3 linked regions of the Astyanax mexicanus genome follow. The protein of the gene in region 2 interacts with the protein of the main gene of each other region in a pairwise test. Links are inferred from orthologs where the notes say so. Each region holds a gene or a part of one and is shown on either strand. Other genes may lie near its edges. The genes, in order: pdcd7, fez1 and pam16.

What was found.
Region 1: the proteins of fez1 (region 2) and pdcd7 interact in a two-hybrid assay, tested with the Homo sapiens proteins (2 studies listed by BioGRID and IntAct). The link is inferred for Astyanax mexicanus from reciprocal best matches to the Homo sapiens genes FEZ1 and PDCD7.
Region 3: the proteins of fez1 (region 2) and pam16 interact in a two-hybrid assay, tested with the Homo sapiens proteins (2 studies listed by BioGRID and IntAct). The link is inferred for Astyanax mexicanus from reciprocal best matches to the Homo sapiens genes FEZ1 and PAM16.

Annotation. Positions count from the first base shown.
Region 1 is NC_064423.1:9,379,916-9,388,557, forward strand, and holds the start of pdcd7 (programmed cell death protein 7), read right to left. Parts: upstream 3,102-8,642; 5' UTR 2,966-3,101; coding exon 1,895-2,965; intron 859-1,894; coding exon 720-858; intron 1-719. Other genes in the region: clpxa (caseinolytic mitochondrial matrix peptidase chaperone subunit Xa), read right to left, coding at 6,513-6,603. UniProt on the Homo sapiens protein: Promotes apoptosis when overexpressed.
Region 2 is NC_064427.1:33,816,985-33,824,729, reverse strand, and holds the start of fez1 (fasciculation and elongation protein zeta-1), read right to left. Parts: upstream 3,541-7,745; 5' UTR 3,257-3,540; intron 1-3,256. UniProt on the Homo sapiens protein: May be involved in axonal outgrowth as component of the network of molecules that regulate cellular morphology and axon guidance machinery.
Region 3 is NC_064426.1:40,098,431-40,106,873, reverse strand, and holds the start of pam16 (mitochondrial import inner membrane translocase subunit tim16), read left to right. Parts: upstream 1-4,929; 5' UTR 4,930-5,072; coding exon 5,073-5,075; intron 5,076-6,602; coding exon 6,603-6,687; intron 6,688-7,368; coding exon 7,369-7,505; intron 7,506-7,603; coding exon 7,604-7,669; intron 7,670-8,443. UniProt on the Homo sapiens protein: Regulates ATP-dependent protein translocation into the mitochondrial matrix. Inhibits DNAJC19 stimulation of HSPA9/Mortalin ATPase activity.

The sequences.
Region 1 (8,642 bases), on a different chromosome or scaffold from region 2:
GGCATTTATTTGAAGAGATTTGTCTACAAACATGTGGACATATGCAGTAGTAGCCTAAGGTTTGGACACACTTTATCATTAGTGTTTTTTATTTTTATTTCTTTATTTAATTTATTTTCTACATTGTAGATTAATATTAAAGACATACAAACAATTAAGGGACACACATAGAATTATGTAGTAAACAGTAAAAAGTGTTTGTCCTCCGCATTAATCCCCTGATCTAAACCTGGTGATCTGAGATGGTGATTTGAGGTGATTTAATTGGGAAGAGCTGGAGCTTCCTTCAAGACGCTGAGAAAACAATTCCAGGTGACTCTCCCTCATGAAGACACTGAGATTAAAATCTTACCAATCTTACCAAGAGTGTGCAGATCTGTCCTCAAAGATAAAAAAAATGTGCTACTTAGAAGAATCTAAAATAAAAAACATATTCTGGTTTGTTTAACACTTTTTGTTTACAAAATAATCCCACATGTTCCTGCATAGCTTTAACGACTTCAATATAAAATGCACAATGTAAAAAAAAAAAATCAGGAGAAGAGGTGTGTCCAAACTTTTGGCTGGTACTGTAGTGTATCTCACTGTTTTATTTGACCAGTCATTAAATTGTTTCTCTACTTGTTGTACTGTGTACAAATGCAAAGATACATAATAAAGTCAACTGACCAAATTGGTAACATTTGACTAATTAAATGCATAAAGAATCCGTTGGTCACCTTTCCTGGATGCTGCCTCTTTGCGAAGTTTCCTTAGCTTTTCCAGAGCCTTGAGAATGTCCAGCATTCGCTTAGAATCTGCCTGTTTCTTCCTCACCTCGGACAGCACAGCGTCTGCAGCCAGTTTCAGCTCACGCTCCTAAATGAGAAAACACTTGTAAATTAATCAATCAATTTAAATAACAATCAACTCAGTATACACTCAAATTAGTCCATGTCTTCAAAAGTGCCAAAACACAAAATATTACAAATGTGTTCACCAACTTCAAGCACTTTCCACATTTAAACAGCTTCTGTGCATTTAAATCCCATGTGAAGTTTCTACAATCAGTGATAGTTTGGAGAGACATGTCATCTGCTGGTGTTGGTCCACTGTTTTTTATTAAGTCTAAAGTCAGTGCAGTGTTTTCCCACAAAATCTTACAGCACTTCCTGCTTCCCTCTGCTGACGACTTTTATGGAAATGTGCCTTTCATTTTCCAGCAGGACTTTTCCAGGGTTTTTATTAGCTGAAAGCCACAATCAGCCACAATAAAATAAATAAATGCTTAAAATAGATCACTCTGTGTTTAATTCATCTATATAATATATGAGTTTCACATTTTGAACTAAATTACTGATATGAAGTAACTTTCCAATTATATTCAAATTTTTGACAGTATTTTAGCCAGTCATGCAATTATTTCCTAAACTACGATAAATTAAAGTTGTCTTTAAAATGGTATAACTGCTTTGTTGTGCTATTCTATTATCATTATGTCAGTGTCATTTAAAGGTCCTAAAATGACAATTGTATAATTTATCGCAATAACTTCTATATATCTATATATTTCATCCACAGAACGTTCTTATCGTTACAGGCCTAGCATGAGCCACAGAGTCCTATACTACTGGGGGTAATTCTATACAAGGACAAGGCAAGCTGTGAATGTGTGTCTTTTGCACATTTGTGTCAGCTGCTGTGGGTGCAACTTAAAGCAGCTGACTGCATTTACATAAAGGGTGTCCACAAATATTTGGACCCAGCGCAAAACTGGTAGCTGTCAGATGACTACGTTTGGAGTAAAACGTAGTTATCTGGAGAAAAACTGTACACCTGATGATACACCACCCAACACCTCACATGACCCAAAGCCACGGCACCTCCTCAGGCCCCTAATGACCCCTCAACTCACCCTGTTCTTCTCCTCCAACTCTTGTATCTGCTTCAGCTGGAACTTGTCCATAGCTGCCTCCCTCTCCGCAGCCCTCCTCTCCTCCTCCTGCTTCTCCTCCATCCTCTCCGCTCTTCTCCTGCGCATGCAAGCTCGCTTCTTCTTGATCAGCTCCAGGTTCTTCTTGACCCTGCTGATGACCTCTCTGTCCTGCAGGCCTGCCAGCCTCTCCTGCAGGCTGCTCTTCAGCTCTCCGGCTCGGGAGTAGGCCTCGGTCCACACGCCCTGGTTCTCCAGGTTGTTTTTGAGGGTTTGGCAGAGCAGGGTGAGCTCTGAGAGCATGTGGACTGTGCTGTAGAGCTTGTGTCTGAAATCTGAAACAGACTGTTTGGGGGGATGCTGAGCTGCTTCTGCGGCTGATGCTGCTGGCTTGCTCCTTCTTCTTCTCTGCAGGAAACCTTTAACCCACTGCTCGTCCTGAATCCGCTGTGTGGTGTCTGCGTCAGGGGTCACCTGCAACATGGACGTGGTGGATGTGGTAGTGGTGGTTCTGTTTCCATTATTCTGCCCATCCCCTGACCAGTGGCCTTCTGGGGGGTTGTTGATATGGTGAGGAAAGGAGCTGGGATGTGGTTTATGGTAGTCTGGAGTGAAGCTTGGACTGGCTGGTGGGTTGAGTTGGTGAAACCTGGGCTGGTGCACTGGTGGACATGGTGTTGGGATTGGTGGTGGTCCAAAATTTGTAAAAGGGCCCCCTTGATCAAAGCTGCCCCTATCAGTACCTACATGCGCTTGCTGCCCCCTGCTGGCCGGAGGAGGCCACAGCGCGTTCTGCTGCTCGCCGAAGAAGCCTGGAGGAGGCCTGCTGGGGTCGAAAAGTGGAGGGTGAGAGAACGGCGGGGGCTGGAACGGCGGCCACTGGCTGTACGGCCCGGGCTGTCCGGGCTGTCCGTGCTGTCCGGGCCACGGCGGCGTCGGGGGTGGAGGGACGGAGCCGGGCGGCGCTCCGACACCGTACCCGCCTCTGCTGCCGTACCCGCGGCCCTCTGCCGCTCCCGGCGGCTCCGCAGAGTACGGCGGGAGGTTGTTCATGTTTCCTGCGAGTCCTGAATGAATGCAGCCGCTGTGTTTTACTGTAACAGATAAACAGTAACCCGGCCAGTTAACTAAACAGCTAAACAGTTTCTCACCGCTGCTCCCCGCTAACCGGATGTAGCGCTAATGCTGGTCACTTCCGCTCTATGGCTGTTTGGGTGTGTTCCAAACGGAGTGAGTGCACTAGATCTAGGGCACTTGAAAGAAAGGGCGCCAACAACAGACATTTAAATGTAGTGTTTCAAACCGACTGTATGTCTTTAGCCATTTAAGCTAGCTAAGTATCAAGCTAGAAAATACCATCTCAAACAAATATATTGAAATATATTGAAAAGTTTTAATTAATCAATCATAGTTTGGTCATAGTATCATCATAATAAATTATTTCTCGTATATTATATAGATGTACTGTGTGTAATACATCTATATGTGAGTTTCACCTTTTGAACTGAATTACTGAAATAAAGTAACTTTTAAATAATATTAAATTTTTTAAAATTAAGTTAGCTATATTTAGAAAGAGATTTATTAAATTAAGGGAACAGGTTTTTGAACATAGATGGGGTTTACCTGTTAAATCATGAAAGGCCATGCACACACCACTTAGAAAAAAAGGAAAAATCACCATCAAAAAAAAAAAAAAAAATATTAATTTTAGAATATTAGAAGATAATTGCAAATAAATTACATAGCATTTTATCAATTGAATAAACTAAATCTGAACATCTGAAAATAATAAATGCAAAAATGTAATTAAATAATGACTGCAATTCATTTTTCAAAATATTAAGAAATAATTTCCAAATTTTGGGAAAATATCTCCAAACAATACATTATCATCTCAAAATAATGAGGTAAAATGTGTTTATTTTTTTCATTTTCTGTGTGTTTTGCAATCCCACTCTCTCGTTTCGTGCTAGATCAAGCCAAACTGCAAACCCCCCCACACAGAAACCTTAGTGGTAACTGTGCAACAAGGGATGCCAATCAGGATGATCTATTGTCACGCTAATAAAGGGTAACTAATCCCCCTGATTTTAGCTGACTCCACCCTCAGCTCATATTTGAAAAAATAAAAAAATGTGAGGAGTAATTTGGGAGGGGCACTGGGTGATGTATGGGTTTAGGGGTGGTGCAGAATTAAAATCTGATTGGGGTGAGCTGTGTGCCTCTGATAGCTTTGAGACTCAGAAGTTGAACTTCACCAGGGGATAGACTGATTTGCATATTGTGAGTGTCTGTGAACCAAAGTATGCAGACACATCATCCTCAGTTTAAGTTTATGAAATGTTTCTAAACATTTTCACAACTTTAAAGGAACACGTTTCAGCTACTAATGAAAAAAATGATTTTAGGTTTAATGCCTCTTTAATCAATGTGTATGTGTCTTCTTAACTTGCTTGCTCAATAAAATATTGTATATAATTTGTGGGGGGCAGGCGGCCCCTATTTAAATGTGGGAGACTCCCTTAACTTCCGTGTCAGGTGGGATCTCTGCTGTCCTCTCAGATATCCGTACCTCCATGGATGCATTTTTCGAATGGTGTCCTACCCAGTCAGCCTGCTGTAGCCCTTAGCCTTTTTACCCTTGCTTCTTTATTCTCCAAAACTACCCATTGCCTTTATTGTCTGGTGCACTATTAATGTACTCATTAAGCGCAAGTGATATTTGATTAATAAAAGAACATTGTGGAATAAATGAATCCAAAGCCAGAGAGTTAAGGACAGCTTTATTAACCCATATCATTTTACAAGAAAGCCTACAAAAGAACAGAGGAATGGGATCTGTCTGCTTAACATCCCAGAATAAATACGTTGATCTAGGACCAATAAATCAAAATCAGTTCTGTAACATAACTGATTTAATTAATTCTGAAACAAAAAAGATCACCACCAGGCTGCACATAATAACCAAATTGCTGATATTGTATTATATTATGTATTGAAAGTACACAATTAGCAAACAATATATTGTGCAGCTTTAGTAATTATCATAATGATTAGAGCAAAAATGGGAGGTGATCCTAGATCAAAGATTTTTCTGAAAAATCTGTACACATGATCCCAGCTGTAAAATAGTTGAAGTTCTTTAAAAAGTCTGTCACAATTTGTCAGTCCATTTGAACACATTCAAAAACAGTGCCTCCACCATGTTTGACTTCAACCTATCTTGTGCTTCTTCCTACTCAAGCTTATCTTGGTTTCATCTTACTACAGAATCTGTGCAGGTTTTTTTGAAGAGGTTTTTAATCAGTTTGATCTGTTCTTTCTGTTCTTGAATGTTATCAGAGGTTTAAAATAAACCAATCTGACTCAGACAATCCATGATGGTGCGTATACACAGAAAATCAGTCTACACAGAAAAAGCTACACCTATTAAAAACATATCTTAAGAGAAGGTTTCCCAGTCAGAAGGAGAGATGAGTGTTGTGTAATTCACAAAAGTGGGATGTGAATTACACAACATGCAATGTGAAAGAGGAAAATGTGAGCAGCGAGAGATACAAGGTGCGTAATTGGAGGAATTCTCAAAGAATACTGATGGGAAATCTAGCTAATGCAGCAGCTTATAATTCCATTTCAGGAGGGTCCAGTATGGTTTGTGATATCCCTCATTCTACTCGTCTTTTATCTGCCAGTGTTAGTAGGTGTGTTTGAGCAGGACTGGACATCAGTGTATCAGCCCTCCAAGACCAGATCTGAAGAACCTTGGTCTAACAGGTTAGAGTAACAAGACTATGCTCATGTTTAAGCTCCTTAAGGACCAACCAATCAGCAGCGTTCTGGAACAGTTATTGTTCTAAACCAGTCCATTAAAAGACAAACAAACCCATGCACAAAACTAATGCAGCATGAAGGGTAATACAGACAGCAGCAGATAAATAGAGGACTATAAAACTCTATTACAAAGTTGTTTTGTTAAGAACTACTTCCGGTGTGTCACAAATATGCTCACTCAGATTTCATGAGGAGTTTCCCTGTCAAGTAAAAGCTAAAGGAGTATAATGAAACAAAACAAGTACCTCAGTGGATAAATCTCAACAGATTTACACTGTAGAGTGGAACATTGTGTCCAGAACTTTTTTTTATATTATAACACTCTGAGCAGAAAAAGAAAACGGTTATTCAACATTATAACAAAGAGGAAGATGTGATCTTTATCCTCTTATCTCCATTCAAACCAATGAAAGCAAACAGCTCATAAAAATCTAAACATATGTTTATAAAGGAATAAAATATTTTTTTACATTCACTATTAACAGTCACTCACTGGGAGGCATAGTTCATAGATTACATTTGGTTTAAACATGTTTTTCGTCTAAATCATTTGTCCATAAGTATAATTCAGGATAAGTGAAAACTCCACACTGTGACTTACAGGTGAATCAGTCATTAGTACAGATCATTCAGGGCTACATACATCAGTGTGTACATGTATGTGTGTAAATGGACCCATGGTGAATCATTACTTACTTAATAAACTGAAATAAAAAAATTATTCATCATTTGGAGCTTAAATAAGAAGTTTTTTTGTTGGCTGGTTTTAATTCTTGGCTGCATCAACCTGCCTGGTCCAGTTCTCTTCCTCCATTCCAGAGTCATATTCCTCCTCTGCTGCTTCTTTTGCTGGTGCTCTGCAAAATATACACACAACATTTTAAATATTAATACACCAACATGTTAATAATTGAAATGTAAAATAAAATGTATATAATAATCTTATTATAATTCAAATCAGAAAGGAAAATAAACACAAAATCAACCAAATTGTCCACAGTCACCTAAATAAATTGCTCCTTTCACACAAAGCTCTTGTATCTCTAAAATTGCAAAACTTGCAAAGAAAATCTTTATTTATATATATACAGTTGTGGTCAAAAGTTTACATACACTTGTAAAAAAACATAATGTTATGGCTGTCTTGAGTTTTCAATAAGTTCTACAACTCTTATTTTTCTGTGATAGAGTGATCGGAACACATACATGTTTGTCACAAAAAACAGTCATAAAATTTGGTTCTTTCATAAATTTATTATGGGTCTGCTGAAAATGTCACCAAATCTGCTGGGTCAAAAATATACATACAGCAACAAAATTTGTCAATTTTGGTGATGTAGCGAGTTGTGTCAATCAAATTAGCTTCATGTCATGGCCTCTTCACTTCTTGTAAGTGATTCTGATTGACTACAGCTGTTGACTTCTCATGAGCCCATTTAAATAGGGCTCATTTGACCCAGTGATTAGACTCAGCTACAAAAGCTACAATGGGAAAGTCAAAGGAACTCAGTGTGGATCTGAAAAAGCGAATTATTGACTTGAACAAGTCAGGGAAGTCACTTGGAGCCATTTCAAAGCAGCTACAGGTCCCAAGAGCAACTGTGCAGACAATTATACGCAAGTATAAAGTGCATGGAACAGTTGTGTCACTGCCACGATCAGGAAGAAAACGCAAGCTATCACATGCTGCCGAGAGGAGATTGGTCAGGATGGTCAAGAGTCAACCAAGAATCACCAAGAAGCAGGTCTGCAAGGATTTGGAAGCTGATGGAACACAGGTGTCAGTCTCCACAGTCAAGCGTGTTTTACATCGCCATGGACTGAGAGGCTGCCGTGCAAGAAAGAAGCCCTTGCTCCAGAAAAGGCACCTTAAGACTCGGCTGAAGTTTGCTGCTGATCACATGGACAAAGATAAAAGTTCTCTGGTCAGACGAAACAAAAATTGAGCTGTTTGGCCACAACACCCAGCAATATGTTTGGAGGAGAAAAGGTGAGGCCTTTAATCCCAGGAACACCATGCCTACTGTCAAGCATGGTGGTGGTAGTATTATGCTCTGGGGATGTTTTGCTGCCAGTGGAACTGGTTCTTTGCAGAAAGTAAATGGGATAATGAAGAAGGAGGATTACCTCCAAATTCTGCAGGAAAACTTAAAACCATCAGCCCGAAGGTTGGGTCTTGGGCGCAGTTGGGTGTTCCAACAAGACAATGACCCAAAACACACATCAAAAGTGGTAAAGGAATGGCTAAACCAGGCTAGAATTAAGGTTTTAGAATGGCCTTCCCAAAGTCCTGACTTAAACCCCATTGAGAACATGTGGACAGTGCTAAAGAAACGGGTTCATGCAAGAAAACCATCACATTTAGCTGAACTGCACCAATTCTGTCAAGAAGAGTGGTCAAACATTCGACCTGAAGCTTGCCAGGAGCTTGTGGATGGCTACCAAAAGCGCCTAGTTGCCGTGAAAATGGCCAAGGGACATGTAACCAAATACTAATGTTGCTGTATGTATATTTTTGACCCAGCAGATTTGGTGACATTTTCAGCAGACCCATAATAAATTTATGAAAGAACCAAATTTTATGACTGTTTTTTGTGACAAACATGTATGTGTTCCGATCACTCTATCACAGAAAAATAAGAGTTGTAGAACTTATTGAAAACTCAAGACAGCCATAACATTATGTTTTTTTACAAGTGTATGTAAACTTTTGACCACAACTGTATATATATATATATATATATATATATATATATATATATATATATATATATATATATATATACCATGATCATAAAAGTGTCAAGTGTTTAAACACTCACACCTGTATAAGTTGAGATGTAAACTTGAGTAAATCCAGTCTCACGTGTATCAGAAATACGCCATAGAAATCATG
Region 2 (7,745 bases):
TTTTTTTTGGGATTGTTTATCTCTTGTTTATATCCATATATTCATACATTTATGTACCAAAAACTGTTAATTGATTTATATTTTACAATTTATTTAACATTGCCTTACCTGTAAATATTGAAAAGGGCTGTTGTTTTTCTTTTTTTACTGAGCATCTAGTACAAAAGTTTAAGACACTATTGAAAATTAGAATTAAAAAGCTCCTTACCAGGGCAATATGTTTAATTTGTTCAGTAAAACACTAACATTAGAATAAATACAAAAACATGAAAACCAAACTTTGGTGATTTCTGATTTGTCACTGTGTTCTTTTAAGTTTGCCATGGCTTCCCTCTGGTCTAATATTATTTATAGTTATTATTCAACACCTGGTTTGATAAATCAGGTGAGCTTGTTATGGAATTGATCATATCCACTTTGGGCGCTGGCTGTGGGCATCCAGGAGAGATCTGGAACCAAGCATTATACAACTAGCAATTTCTTAAAGATGAGAATTTTGTGTTGCGTTTTCCTGTACACAAACACAGACTCTGACTGCTGAGATAAATAACCAAAAATAATGTGTTTAGGTGCATAAAACCTCTGCATAGAGTTGTAGTAAATGATCTATTTTCTTATTCACAGTGCTGTATTGTTTCTAATTGGTTTTGGGATTTTTTAAAACTATTTTTTGTATATATATATTTCAAACTGTTTAGTGTCTTCAGACTTTTAGACTGGGGAGTGAATGGTACATTGTGAAACCATGTTGAGCTTACGTACGTAAATAAGTAAATATTCTTACTGTTCAGGTGTATATTTGGGTAAATTTAGTAAATTTCCCAAACTTTCATGACACTATTATTTTCCAGCAAACTTTGACAGAAACGGATCCTGTTTTTTATCTCCATGAATAAGCCTCGAAGGGTGTGTGGAAACTTAACATCGCTAGGACAAAGACAATTGGATCAAAATCCATTTAAACGGGCCTGACATAAGCCTTTCCCTCTGCAGAGCATTACTCAGCAAAGTGCCATGCCTCTAATGCTTTACTGTTTTATTGTAGCACAGTGTGTGTGTGTGTGTGTGTGTGTGTGTGTGTGTGTAAGATACATTAAAGTTGAGCTTTTGACTTCCACACAGGGTTTCTGTGTCTCTACTTCCATGCCTGAAGCCAAATGCTGTCAAAAATACCAAACAAGGCTATATTAAAACTCAAATCAATAGTCAGGACAACAAGCTGAAGTCATGCAGTGCAGTGACCCGGAGGCAAGGCCCTGATTTACTCTGCCAGAGGGGGAAGGGTGGGGGGGGCCTGGTGGCAGAATTGTGCTGGATTGTAAATAGAACGTTGATGAGAGAAATCGATGGAACTCAAACGTCATGACTGGAAAACTAAATCACTGAACACTTTCCATAGAGTATATACAATTGTGGAAAACATGATCAATTCCAAATCTCGCCTACAACATAATCCAAGTGCCATACACATAACAAACCTGAAACTTTACATGAGAGGGAAAAACTCTTCTTTCTGCTTTACCTTCAATGAATGTTTGTGTAAAAAGGCTTAATTCCAAGTTATTACTAGACTATTTCTATTGGTCCAGTCACCATGAAATTGAGAAGGTTTTGTGTGACAGCAATGAAATGTTTTAAATCATTGCAGCATAATGTTATTACAGTTATCTAAATGATCTACAATCTGTGAGGACTCTAATATCTATATAAGTGTAGCCCATGTGTCAGGGCAATCCACTTTATATTAGACAATCGTAAGAATGAACATTAACAAGAATGAGCAGGTATGCTGACTTTTATTTATTTAGGATATTTAAATATATATAAATTCAAATCTAATGTCTAAATAATTGTAATAATTAGCAGTTCATTGCTCTTCAAAAGGATATGCTGTAGATTACATACACATACAGCTTTGGAAAAAAATTAAGAGACCACTTCAGTTTCTGAATCAGTTTTTCTGATTTTGCTATTTATAGGTATATGTTTAAGTAAAATAAACATTATTTTATTCTATAAACTACAGACAGCATTTCTCCAAATAAATTCCAAATAAAATTTTGTCATTTAGATCATTTATTTGCAGAAAATGAGAAATGGCTGAAATGACTAAAAAGATGCAGAGCTTTCAGACCTTAAATAATGCAAAGAAAACAAGTTCATATTCATAAAGGTTTAAGAGTTCGGAAATCAATATTTCATGGAATAACCCTGTTTTTTAAATCACAGTTTTCATGCATCATTTTGTTTCAAGCTGTATGTATAAAGGCAATCTGCTGTAGAGTATATACACAAATATACACTCCCATGAACATACATTCAAATCTTTCAAACCCTTAAATGTAATTGTTAAAATTGCTTATTATTATAACCCCATGTAAATACTGCATATTTAGTGAGAAATATACTTTATATTAATAGCATTTAGAAGAATGTGTTCTTATATTTTAAATTTACGTTATATTTTGTTATTGTACGTATTCTTATATTACCTTTACACAATATAACCTTTACTTTATAAGATACTATACAGATTTAGATACTATATTTAATATATATTGTATTATATGTATTATAATATTACAATAATATCTACATGTCTCATTCAAAATATATCTATTGGGAGGGATATACTCCTGCTTTGTAAATATTTAATGTAGCTGGTTTCACCTGCTTAATACAACATTAGCATCATAATGATGCTAACAGGCCGTGAGCGTCGAGCTGAGGAGAAAATATGGCGGCACGAGATGACTGTAAAAAAACATGAGTGAGAGAAACCAAGCCACCATATATCAACCCTGCTAGATACTGAGTGAGGAGCTGTAGGAACTGAAGGAGCTGAATAGTTTTATTAATTTATAGTCAACAAAATTAAATACAAATCATAGACAGTGATAAAACACTGTTAATTATAGGAATATTACAAATAAACGTATAGATAAATATTAGCTATTTCCTGATATAGGTCTCTAAGGGCTTAGAGAGAAACTGTTTACACAGGGAAAGTGATGGAGATAATGATAGGAAAGGTGAAAGAGGAGGAGGAATGGAAACAATGGAAAGATGGATAGAGAGAACAGATAGATGAACGGATAGATAACAGAGGAGGGATGGAGAATGAAAGATCAAGGTTAGACGTTCCCTGGAGGAGCAGGAGCAGGAGGGAGAGTAGGAGGAGGATGAGATGGAGGGAAAACAATGGGGGATTGGAGATGAAGGGCAGAGAGAAAGAGAAAGAGACACATTGTTTTACCTTCAGTAGAGTCTTTCCTTGTTGTGTAGCAGGATAGAGAGAGAGCCCCTCCTTAGTCCAAGCAGGTCAGAACCACACCACCATCATGCAGCAGGATATGATGGCAGACACTTTCATTTCTCTCCCTCTTTCTATTTCTCTATCTTTCTTTATCTCTATAAATATCCCTCGCTTTTCCTGCCCTGCCTGACTGGCTCGCTCTGTTCCTCAGCCTGAAGCAGCCGCTTGTCTTTTGATCAATAAGCAGCAGCAGCAGCCTCCTCACCGAGCCTGCGCATCACTACGGAATCACCGCCCCCTCCAGTCCCTCCTCCTTCCGCGCTCTCCTCATCTACCTCATCATTCACATCACTCATTCAAGCCACACCCCCTTACCCCCCTCTCTCTCCCTCCCTTTATCTCTCTCTCTCCCTCTTTCCTTCTCTCCGTCTGGCACAGTGTGTACAGCCTCCATATTCATGAGAGAATGGAGGGATGCTGTGAGGGAGGCTTCATTCATTCATACCTTGCTCCTGCTGCCTCCTTTGTCACTCTCTGTGTACTATATGTGCTGGGCTGGTGCTTGGACCCCATTATTGCCACTTTTCCACTGCTGTCAATATTGCTAGCCATACTTGTAGAGACATGTACAGTACAACAGACCACTTCAGTTTCTGAATCAGTTTCTCTCTCTGACAGCAGTGGAAAAGACAGTTAAAAGAAGGGATACACAAAATATGTGGCAAAACATGTTTGGCTCTATGTTTACCATAACACTGAATGCCTTTGTGTATATTTACTCACATGTGCCTTAAGTAGTACTGCTGTGGTAAATTTATGACTAGCATTGCACTGCTGTGGTAAATTTATGACTAGAAAAGCACTTGATATAGCTAAATGAATGAAATACATCAATGATTAGGATAGCATGGCTAAAATCAAATACTTAGTACTTTAATTTAATAAATATTTAAAATTGTATTTTGCAAGTGCTGTTTCTTTGACAACAAGACAAAAAAAGAAGATCCATAGGAAAAATATATCAAAGCAGATATACTTACTAAAGAGTCTCCCACTGCTTATAGTAGAATTATTATTGGAATTAATATTGAAATTTAAATTCAGTTAAGCAATCATTTTATAAACCAAAACAAAGCATTTTGACTTATTACATGTCTTATAAAGGTGCAAATATATAGGCTCTAGATGGTTCTTCTGCAGTGGATGGCTTATTAAAGGCAGATTCATATGGCCTACTTTGTTTTCAACCCCATGGGGATACCAACATGTATTGTAACAATGTGCAAAAGGAGACTTTGTGCTGTGTACTTTGTACCGATCAGTCTTAATGTCTGTAGACAGCTGTGGAAAAGACAGGAAAAAGTAAGAATGCAGCAAATATTGTTTTAAAATATGTTTAGCGAGTAAGAGAATAGTGTACAGGGCTGGTTGAGCTTCCTACATTTTTCTGGTAAATTTACGACTAACATCGCACTGCTTACGTAAATTAGAATTAAAATGATTAGAATGGCACTTTGTAGCTGAATTAATTAAATACATAAATAATAAGAATAGCACTGTTAAGTGTTTAGCAAATATTTCAAAACTATAGTTTTGCAAATATTTTTTCTTTGAAAAGCAAGACAAAAATGCATTTAGACTACAAAGTGTATGTACTGTGAACAAAAGAGCTAATCTTATCAAAATCTTCTTTGGTTTCGGTTTCACAAAAAATATATTTTGGTGCGTCCCTAGACAAAGATATACTTACTTACGTGTCTCCCACTGCTAACAGTATCAATACATACTGGTAATTTAAACTCAAATAAGCAGTCCTAGGGACAGAAACAAAGCAAGCCTCATTATCACTAATGACTTCCATATGTTTTCTGAAGATTTTTTTATATACCACATAGATCACAACTGCTTTAAATAAGAAAACAACAATGTAATTGCCACAATGATAATAAAGAAGTTTTATGAATATTTAAAAACAGAACAGAAACATTTTTGATTTGTTTATCTTGCGTTTGGGGTTCTCTATGTCATTCTTTAACTACCCCATTCAGAGTGTAGATGCTTAGATGCAATTAAACAAGCCTATTTAAAAATCTGTGCACTGTAATAAAAAAGCATATTTACAACCATGTTATTTTGCATTCAAATGAAACACTATAAATATAGTCACAGATGCAGTATATGTAATTGGAGGACCATGGTAATATGAATTAATGGAGCAAGAGGACATACACATTTAGACCAGCTATCAAATCACATTCTACACTCACTCTCTCTCTGTCTCTCTCTCTCTCTCTCTCTCTCTCTCTCTCTCTCTCTCTCTCTCTCTTACACACACACACACACACACACACACACACACATACACATACACACAACGGTGACGCCACATCTCCTGCATGGCCCTAATCCCTGACTGGGCTTAATCTGAGCTTCACGCTTTAAAAAGCACCATGTACACACACACACACACATTCACTCAGACAGTGATAGAGACAGACGGTCAGACAGACACACAAGCACAGAGAAAACACACACACACACACACACACTCACTTTCTCCCAAGCCTGAATAGAACTGCAATCATGTAACCGTGGGGCAGCCCACGTGGTGCTGTGTTCAGGCTGTTGACAGTCGTGCATATGTGGCGGATTAGCATCTGATCTAGCAGATTATAGACAAAGCTTTCTCAAATTCACACTCACACCACAGTGAGCGTAGCAGCTGAGGAAGAAAGGAGGATGAGATACACTGGTGAGCTCCTTAATAGCAGTGAAACATCAAAGGATGATACACATTACTGAGTCACTCTATGTAGAGTCTTGATTATTTATAGTAGTGTAGTGGGATTTTATGCAAATCACGGCAATATTTATTTCAGACAAATTGTGCAAATATCTCCTAGAGAACTAGGTTTAAAAAGGTCTTTTTCTGAATAGTGGGTGTTGGTTCAAACAAACTAATACTAATAGAAGAAAAAGCTAATGAAATAATGTAATTAATTAAAAAGTTGCATTTTCTTTTTTAGGATCATGATTTTTAACCATTTTGAGGCCTCAAATAAAATAAACTCTACCAGTTCTATTAGTAATTAGTAATAATTACCAATATAATTAGTGAATTCATTAATAAATTAGTTAATAATCTGAAACAATTAGCAGTTCCATTTGCTTTAATTATATACAAAAAATGACAGTGCTTTCCAAAATAAACCTTTTTAAAAAATGTTATATATTTTATTTATGTGTATATATTTCATGTAGTTTATAAAATGTAAATACCTAAAATATTAAAATATATTCAGTATATTAACTCTAACAATATATTATTAAATAATTTGTAAAACAATAAATAAATTGTGCTTTATAAATATTTATAAAGCACATACAATAAAGAAATATAACAATAATAATAATAATAATAATAATAATAATAATAATAATAATAATATTTGTTATTACTACGGTTGTTATTATTAATTATTCTGGTGCATTTTATTGGTCTGTTTCTAATAAACTCAATAAAATATAAAAATAAATACAATTTAAATAAATACCTATCACGCAAAAACCTGGTTTTCCTTATTTACCCTGCCCCCCAAACACACACACATACACACCACTGATTCCGTATGAGAAACTTTTAGCTAAGCTTATTTCCATCAATGACATCATCCATCCATCTCTCATCGCAACCTCAACAACCACATCTAACCATGTTATAGATATCTAATTATACTGCATTTAAACGCAAATATATTGAACATGCAAATTGTTATGACCCAATCCGCACACATCCTTCTTAAATCTGACATCCAAGCAGACATGGTGAAGCGAAACCCTCTGTGTAAAAACTGCTTCTCGGAGATCATCATTTCCTCAGTTTAAATTTCCGCCCTCGTCGCATGATCTGTAATAAGGATGTGAGTGGGATAAACCAGTAAGCTTCTACTCAAGGACAAACTGGAACGACCTGATTTTTCCTCAATAAGGACAGCTCCTCCACCCCCTTTCCAACACACACACACACACACACACACACACACACACACAGCCCCCTCCATGGTGTAAAAGAGTCTGAGAGGCCCCGTTGCTATAGGAAACTGGCAGCACAACTGAGCATTGCTCTTGATACGGTTGCTGTGGTTCTCATTGAAAAACCTTTTTCTCCACTGTGTGTAATAGCTTCACATAGAGAGCGTGACGTCATGTGTGTACAGAGAGGCCTGTGATAGTGTAGTGTGATAGTTCCACTATGGTGCAAGCTATGGGCTTACAGTGACATGAATCCATACTGCAGTTTGGAACATTCATATCCATGAACATGGCACTGCCATGTTGGTTTCACTGATGCTCAAAATGGTCAGATGTAGTAGAGATTCTATTTCAGTGGTCCTTTTCCATTGATTGATTAGCAGAGATTCTACAAATGTATTTGTAAATTTACAGAACATATCTTCATGGTTATAAGTTGACAAAAATAGGATGTGCA
Region 3 (8,443 bases), on a different chromosome or scaffold from region 2:
GTATGTGATCAGTGCAGCTGCCAATCATCTTGCCAATGATGTTTATCACCTAATGCTGTTACTGTTATTACTAATAATAATACAGGAGGATACTGATCATTTAGTTAATAGCACTTCTTAGTGTTTTACACTTCATGTTATTAATAAATAGGGAATTATTACTGGAAGTCTTGTTCTGAATGTGATGAGCATCAGTGTTTTGTATCTTGTCTCTGATTGATCTTTGGGATGTCTCAGTTTTTTGATTGATGGTGATTTTTATACTGTGGAGATAAGTGATAACTGCATTACTGTACCCTCTCCTCTGTACTGTGGGAATGTTGCCTTGCAATAAAACAAAAATTACTAAACAAATTACGTCTGGAGTGTTTAATGTATTTGTTTAAATAATATATATATATATATATATATATATATATTAATCATATATCATTTTGTTTGTTAAAATGACTTTAACTGCTTGTTTAATTACAGTTTATTATAAAAGTCATTTCTATTTTTCTATTCTATATGGTTCACTCAGTGTCTTTTTCTATTTCTTTATTTAATGTATTTTCTACATTGTAGATTAATAATATTAAAGACGTGAAAACAGTTAAGGTACACATATAGAATTACGTAGCAAACAGTAAAAAATAAAATAAAATAAAAGTGTTATTCCTCCACATTAATCCCCTGATCTAAATCTGATGAACTGAGATGGTGATTTGAGGTGATTTAATTGTGATGAGCTGGAGCTTCACAGCGTGAAGGAAAAGCAGCAGCTATTGTTCAGCACCTCCAGGAACTCCTTCCTTCAAGACGCTGAGAAAACTATTCCAGGTGACTCTCCCTCATGAAGATACTGAGATTAAAATCTCACCAAGATTCTGCAGATCTGTCCTCAAAGATACATGTGATACTTATTTAAAATAATCTAAAGTATAAAACTATAATAATCTGGGTTTTTTTAACACTTTTTCTTTCCAGAATAATTCTGAATGTTTTTCTTGTATAGCTTTAATATAGTCTTCAATATTAAATTTACAATGTAAAACTAAATCATAAAAAGATACAAAACACATTGAATAAAATAAATTATACTGTATTTTTCTTCTGGCAATGTTTATGCATTAAAACATTATTAATCTGAAATTTGTAATATTTTTTACATAAATTAATTATATAACCAATTTTGGACCATATTTTTTGCTATAATTCACTTTTTATAGTCCTTATTATATTATATAATATTAGCTTTCTTTAGCTATATTTGATTTTTTTTTAAATGTTCAAAAAGTAGATCACTTTTTAATATTTTTATATTAATTAATTATTATATGGATTAAATCTTATAAATAACCCTCACTCTTTTCTTTCTTTCTCTCTCTCTCTTTCTCTCTCTCGAATATTTCCATCTTCATATTCTGGTTTGTTTTACACTTTTTGTTTATTAAATAATTCTGCATTTGTTCCTGTATAGATTTAATATAGTCTTTAAATAAATTTACAATGAACTCTGGGTTCAGTTCACTTACTTTGACTCGGGGGACTCTGAAGGCCACAGGCTCTGGCTCACATCTCTCACATCACACTCCACCTTCAGCAAGAGGCTCAGACCCTGATCACGACTTAATTATCTTGTTCCCACGCCTTAAAAAAGAATGGAAACATATATGATTAACAACCAGTGTTGGGCACGTTACTTTGAAAACGTAATTAGTTACTAGTTACTTCTTCAAAAAAGTTACTAACTGAGTTACTCCACTATAAAAGTAACTATTGCATTACTTTTGTGTTCCTCGTCCCCGTAAGCCCCTTGTAGTTAAATATAATTGAGTTTATTTTACCCCCGTTTATTTCAACGCCATTATTCCCATCACTGTTATCAACAAATATGAACACTGTAGTTTACTGTATTGTAGTGCCAGTATCTCACACTGTAGTGCAGTCTGTTTTAACTGTGGTATAGGGGTGTGTCATTATATTGTACAAATCAAACTTTTTTTTTTACCATTTAAACTCTTCAGGTCCAGTGAGCCTGAAATGGTAAAAAAATCCATTGAACTTAAATTGTATAAAAGCAGCTTCCATGTGACTCCAAAATGAATGGGTTCATATGGAACAATTGAGCAAAATCAGACTTTATAAATGTTTGATTATTTTTGGTTAGTGTCCCGTTTATCAGTTAAATTTTCAGACCATTTAAGGCTAAACTTAAAAATAGAAAATTAGATGTAAAACTTCATTATTCATTTTTTTTTCCATTTGGTGTTGCATGTTTTTTTCCCTGTTTTCATTGCTGCCCCAAACAAAATAAATACATTTAATTAAAACAAAGAAAAAAAGAACTCTTATTTTCAATTTTTTAAGTTGGTTGGATTAAATTATTAGATATTTTTTCGTAAAATTCTGATTGTGAGGGGAAGAAGAGAAGTTTAGAACATTAAAAAATTTAAAATTAATGTTTCATTCACTAAAAAATGAGGTTTTCCACTGAAAATTCTATTTTCAAGTTTGAACTATCAAAAAAATACTTAACTGAAACAGTACAGTTTCCATATTTATTTTGAAAATGTTAAAATTTACTAAACACACAAAATAATATCAAATGTGTCAGAACTGCAGGCAATGTTTTTAACTTTTAAAAAAAAAGTGCAGCTATAAGCCTTGTAATAAACCCAGCGCTCTGGCTTTAACTCCACTAATCAGCCAATCAGATCACAGTAGCATTACTGCTAGCGCATTTACTGCCTAAATCGTGTTTACTGTAGAGAAATTAAAACATACAGGTGAGGTTTCTTTAAGTTTTTAGTTAAATATTATAATCTATTTTCTAATATTAAAGTAATATCATGAATATGTAGTCAGACACTATTTTTAATGTGTATTTTTAGCCGTTTAGCCCCATTTACACCCATTCATTTTGGACTCACTCGCGGGCTCCCTCTAGCGGTTAGCAGTAATTTACTTATATAAAGGGGGAAATAAAAAGTGGATAGTCTCTATATAAACAGCTCTGGTTGAGCACTGGGTGTAAATCAACCCACAGAAACTGGAATAAATGCGCAGTGCTTTAATAAATTGTATGGTTCTGTAAATAAATGTATACAGAACTAGCTTAGTGGAATATATAAAATAAAGGTTACAGCACAGTCAGCAGTGTTGTGCCAGTTCACACTTAAAACAAACTAGTCAGTTTAGTTCCTATTATTTAAAATTGACTAGTTCACTTTAATTTGGTTCGTTTCCCTCTTAATATATAGATACGTAGGCTATTATTTTCCATCACCAGCCCAAATAACAGTAGTATAAAAAATTATACAAAATAAATATATTTCCATAAAACCACACTAATTTATATACTAAAAATTGCTCATTTACTCAATACAGATCAATATAAAATGTTTCTTTACTGCAGACATATTATTTAACCTTTCAAACTCCAGTTATAAAGCTTTTTAAAAAAAAACATGCTATGGGTGAAACTACGCTATTAGCTCACCAACCAATCAGATCACAGTAGCAGTAATGCTAGCGCCTTTACTACATAAAATCAGTTTACTATAGAAAAACTCTATCATATATAGGTACGTTATGATAGTTTTTAGCAACATACTTTATTCTACTTTCTAAAATGAAAGGAAAATCCTGCAGATTTAGTTAAACACTATTTTAAAGTGTGTTTTTAGCCGTTTAGCTCCATTGACTCCTATTCATTGAGGACTCACTCGGGAGCTCCCTCTAGCGGTTAGCCGTCAGCAATACGCTACCAAACATACACAAATTAACAGTTGTCACCCTCAGGTGGACAAACAAAGAACTAAGACCCACTTATATAAATGTTTAGCCTTCAAACATCATTTAAACATTTCTCAAACATTTCTCAAACATTAAACATCAAGAAAATGATAAATATTACTTACGTATGACCGCACGCACTCCAAATCAAATGAGCGGCTAAAAAGCTAGGTAATAACCCGAGCACTAGAGAATCTGTCTGGCTAGAGGTACAGGTGATTGCACCTACAGAGCTAATTAATTCTCTACCTTCTGATTGGGTGAGAGTTATTGAGCAAGATGATAGGTAGAATCGTTAAGGGGGCATGGTGTGAATTATACAATGAGAAATAATTGTGGGTGTTTATACAATGTTAAACGCATACAAAGCTTTTAGTTTATTCTTCACAACTTTTCCTTCCACCTTAAATCTCATTGATCTGTAGTAGATGTTCTATGAATTTTAAACATTTTTGCTTATGTTGTGCCGATATGATAAACGACCCACCTAACTTTTCTGGATTTGAATTGTTGTGTTCCACCTTAAAAGCCTAAAAACGCATCTAAACCCTGAAGTGTGTCGGCACACAGGTGCAACGGTAAATCAGCAGCATTTAAGGTGGAATCTTTAAATAGGAAGCAGAATTTATGGCGCAATGTTAAATTAGCAGCATTTAAGGCGGGATAGCAAACTGACAGCATTAAACAGGGAATGGTAAATTGCCAGCATTTAAGGTGGCATGGTAAATTAGTAGCATTTTAGGCGGAAAAGCAAACTGGCAGCATTTAAGGCGGAATGGCAGATTAGCAGCATTTGAGGTGGAATGGTAAATGAGCAGCATTTAAGGTGGAGTGGTAAATTAGGATTTGAGCAGCCTTTAAGACGGATGGGCAACTTGGCAACCTTTAAGGGGGCATGGTAAATTAGCAGCTTTTTAGTTGCAATGGTAAATTGGATGCATTTAAGGTGGAGTTGTAAATTAGCAGCATTTAGGGTGGAATGGAAAAAACAGCAGCATTTAGGTAAATGGCAACATTTAAGGTGGAATTGTAAAAAAAATCAGCATTTAAGGTGGATTAGCAGCATTTAAGGTGGAATGGTAAATTAGCAATTTAGTGGTGTAAAAAGCTGCAGTGTGCGGTACTGAACAGTAGGGGGGTGTAGTGCTGTAAAGCGCTGAGGGGTAAACTTGGCTCTTCTTCTGTGGTTGGTGTGTTTCTTCACCTTGATGGAAGCGCGTGTGATGATAATAATAATATAACTGAGAATCTGATCATATTTCTAATTTTCAGGAGAAGCGCGAGGCTCAGATATGGTGAGTATTAACGATATTACATCATAATTACACACTGCTTCAGTTTAATCAGGATATAAATACACAGAAACGGGTTAATCTGCTGTCCTGCAGTCATTTTCTGCTGAACTACAGGATTATATCAGACCTTTAATCATCATTACACTGATTATTTACTCATTTATCTGATCAATATTGCTGTTTTAGTGTAGAAATATACTTTAAGACACTATAGTATTAATTTTAACAGCCTGAATGTGTCATATATATTAGAAAACTCCTGGTTTAATGTAGGAAAATGTACTACAATAGGTGAAGTCTGATTTTCTAGATAAGCACACGTTTCTAGAAGTAAATAAAATATATAAATATATAGTTACAAATCTTATATAAAGAGTTATTTCAGCAAAAGGTTATGGATACACTGCCTGTTGTTTGAGAGACTGTTTTACCATAGTTTTAAGAAGGTTTTAGTTTTTAGTTCTGATGAACATGTTCTTAAAATCAAATATCATTAAAATGTTGAACTAGTAATTATAATGATAGTCCCCAAAGACACAGTATGTGTTCAGGCTCGTCCACACATATCTAGATATGTTTAAAATCAATATAAACACAGGTGTCACAGGTGATTACAGCAGCTCACCTTAACTGTTTGAACTGTTTGAGCTAAAGCTGAAATAGAGGAAAGTCCTGCACTTAATATTATTATTATTAGAGTTGAAGTGTAATTTTAACTCTTTCAGATTTAAATATAGTTCAGTGTTGGAGTTATTTGACATTTTTGAGGTACATATATCAGTGTTAACCCAAATAAACCCAATAAATACTGCTCAACCTCACAGAGATTTAATTTAATTCATTTTTTTATAATGGGTAAGTTTTTTTTACAACATTATATATCATGTTATATACAGCTCTGGAAAAAATAAGAGAGCACTTCAGTTTCTGAATCAGTTGAATTCTGAATCTCTGATTTTGCTATTTATAGGTATATGTTTGAGAGACATTGTTGTTTTATTCTATAAACTACAGACAACAAGAGCATTTATTTGCAGAAAATGAGAAATGGCTGTTCATATTCATATGTTTTAAGAGTTCAGAAATCAATATTTGGTGCAATAACCCTGTTTTTTTAACCACAGTTTTCATGCATCTTGGCATCATGTTCTTCTCCTCCACCAGTCTTACACACTGCTTTTGGATAACTTTATGCTGCTTTACTCCTGGTGCAAAAATTCAAGCAGTTCAGTTTGGTTTGATGGCTTGTGATCATCCATCTTGCTTTTGGTTTTTAATTTGGAAAATCAAAGAAACGTATCAGTTTTAAGTGGTCTGTTAATTGTTTTATCCAGAGCTGTATAAAGCAATGGCTTCTGAGTTTAAGTGTGATTTACTACAGCAATAATAAATGAGTAAATGTGTGTGTGATGGCTTACAGTTAAAACCTTTTGACTGTTGGAGTATTTAAATATTTGTTTGTATTTGATTTTGCAGCTAAAAGCAATATTTTACCTGTGTTTTTGTGACTGATTGTTTTGTATGCAGGCAAAGTACCTGGCCCAGATTATAGTGGTGGGTGCGCAGGTGGTGGGCCGGGCATTTGCGAGAGCTTTACGTCAGGAATTTGCAGGTGAGCTCCAAACTGCTTGGCAATAAAATTTAACCCCGACTATTTTTTCTGCGTCAAACAGCTGCAGTCTCTTACTGAAGGCAAAATACTTTATTTATTTTATTTGGGTGGCATTTCCCCTTTCTAATTAATGAAAAGATGTTGAAAATATCAAGAACATCAATGTATTACTTTGTTTGGACTATTTTATTTTATGTTGACTTTACCAAGTAAACTTTTGATCAAAATATGGTCAAATATGTATGTTCTGTTTTTAAGCATTTGAAAAAGGGCTGGTATATTTTATTATTACCATTATTATTATTATTATTATTATTATTAAGACTTCTGAATGCAATTGGTTGCCCTGGATATTAATTGAATACTTTTGCACGTCACATTTTTCAGATTTTTATTTCATAAAAAGGTAAACCGTGTATAATTTTTGTTTCATTTCACACATATGTGCCTCTTTGTGTTTGTCTACCACTTAAAATCTCAATAAAATACATTTAAGTTTGTGGTTGTAAGGTGACAAAATGTGAAAAAGTTCAAGAGGTATGAATACTTTTACAAACCACTGCATAAACAAGCAAGGTATACATGTTTTTATGTAAATAAGGTGTATGAATCTAGCCTATCAGGATTCTTTAACTACTAAATCATATATAAACATTATTAAACATGTGCACTGTGTCACAGCGAGTCAGGCTGCAGCAGAAGCCCGAGGGAAGGCGGGGGCGCAGTCGGCCGCAGCGTCCAGCTTCACCGGGATGACCGTCCAGGAAGCCCAGCAGATCCTGAACATCTCCACGCTGACCCCGGAGGAGATCCAGAAGGTAAAAACACTGTAAACACACTGATACACACATGTGCTCTTCATACACACATTTTTATTAGTGTACTAAAGTCAGATCATCTTTCATATTCTCTACAGAATTACGAGCACTTATTTAAAGTGAACGACAAAGAAGTGGGAGGCTCGTTCTATCTGCAGTCCAAGGTGAGCATCATCATCATCATTATTATCATTATGATTATGAGATACACAGATCAGCATAACATTATGACCATTTGAACATTTGGAACGTTTAACTACAGATTCAGAGCTTCTGTCTCTGACTTTACTTTATCTACAAGATGGAGCAGCTGTAGTAGGTAGGAGTGTGTAATAGAAAGGAGGACAGTGAGTGATTAAACACAGTGTTTAAAAACTCCAGCAGCACTGCTGTACCAGAGCAACACACACTTACACCTCATACACCACTATCAGCAATTGCATTCCTTTAGTAACCATAGTAGAAAAAGGTTGAATCTGATTACCCCTTTAAAAAGTTACTTTATGTAGTTACTTTATTGATTACTTGACTTTTAAAAAAGTAATTAAGTTTGATTACAAGTTACTTTATTAGATACATTCATTACATTCCCTCAGTTCTGCCAAAACTCACTTGCTCTGTAAGTTTTTCTGTGCTGTGCTGCAACTTTTTGAAGATAGATCACCAGCACAGAGTGAACAACCTTCATATTGTCATTTTTATGTATAGATAAAATACATTAAAAAAAAAAAAATCTAATTTTACTGTCTGTATGTGTAATTGTACTGTCGTTTAGTGGTTTTACACGTGAGTTTATCTCATGCTGAAAACATGACTTACAGTAATTGTTGCATAGGAAAGATGTTGCTCCTTGAGATAGAAGAAAGCAAAAATATATCTTTTTACCAAGATAAATAACAAAAATAGTAATGCACAGTGACTTGGATAAGTGATAAATG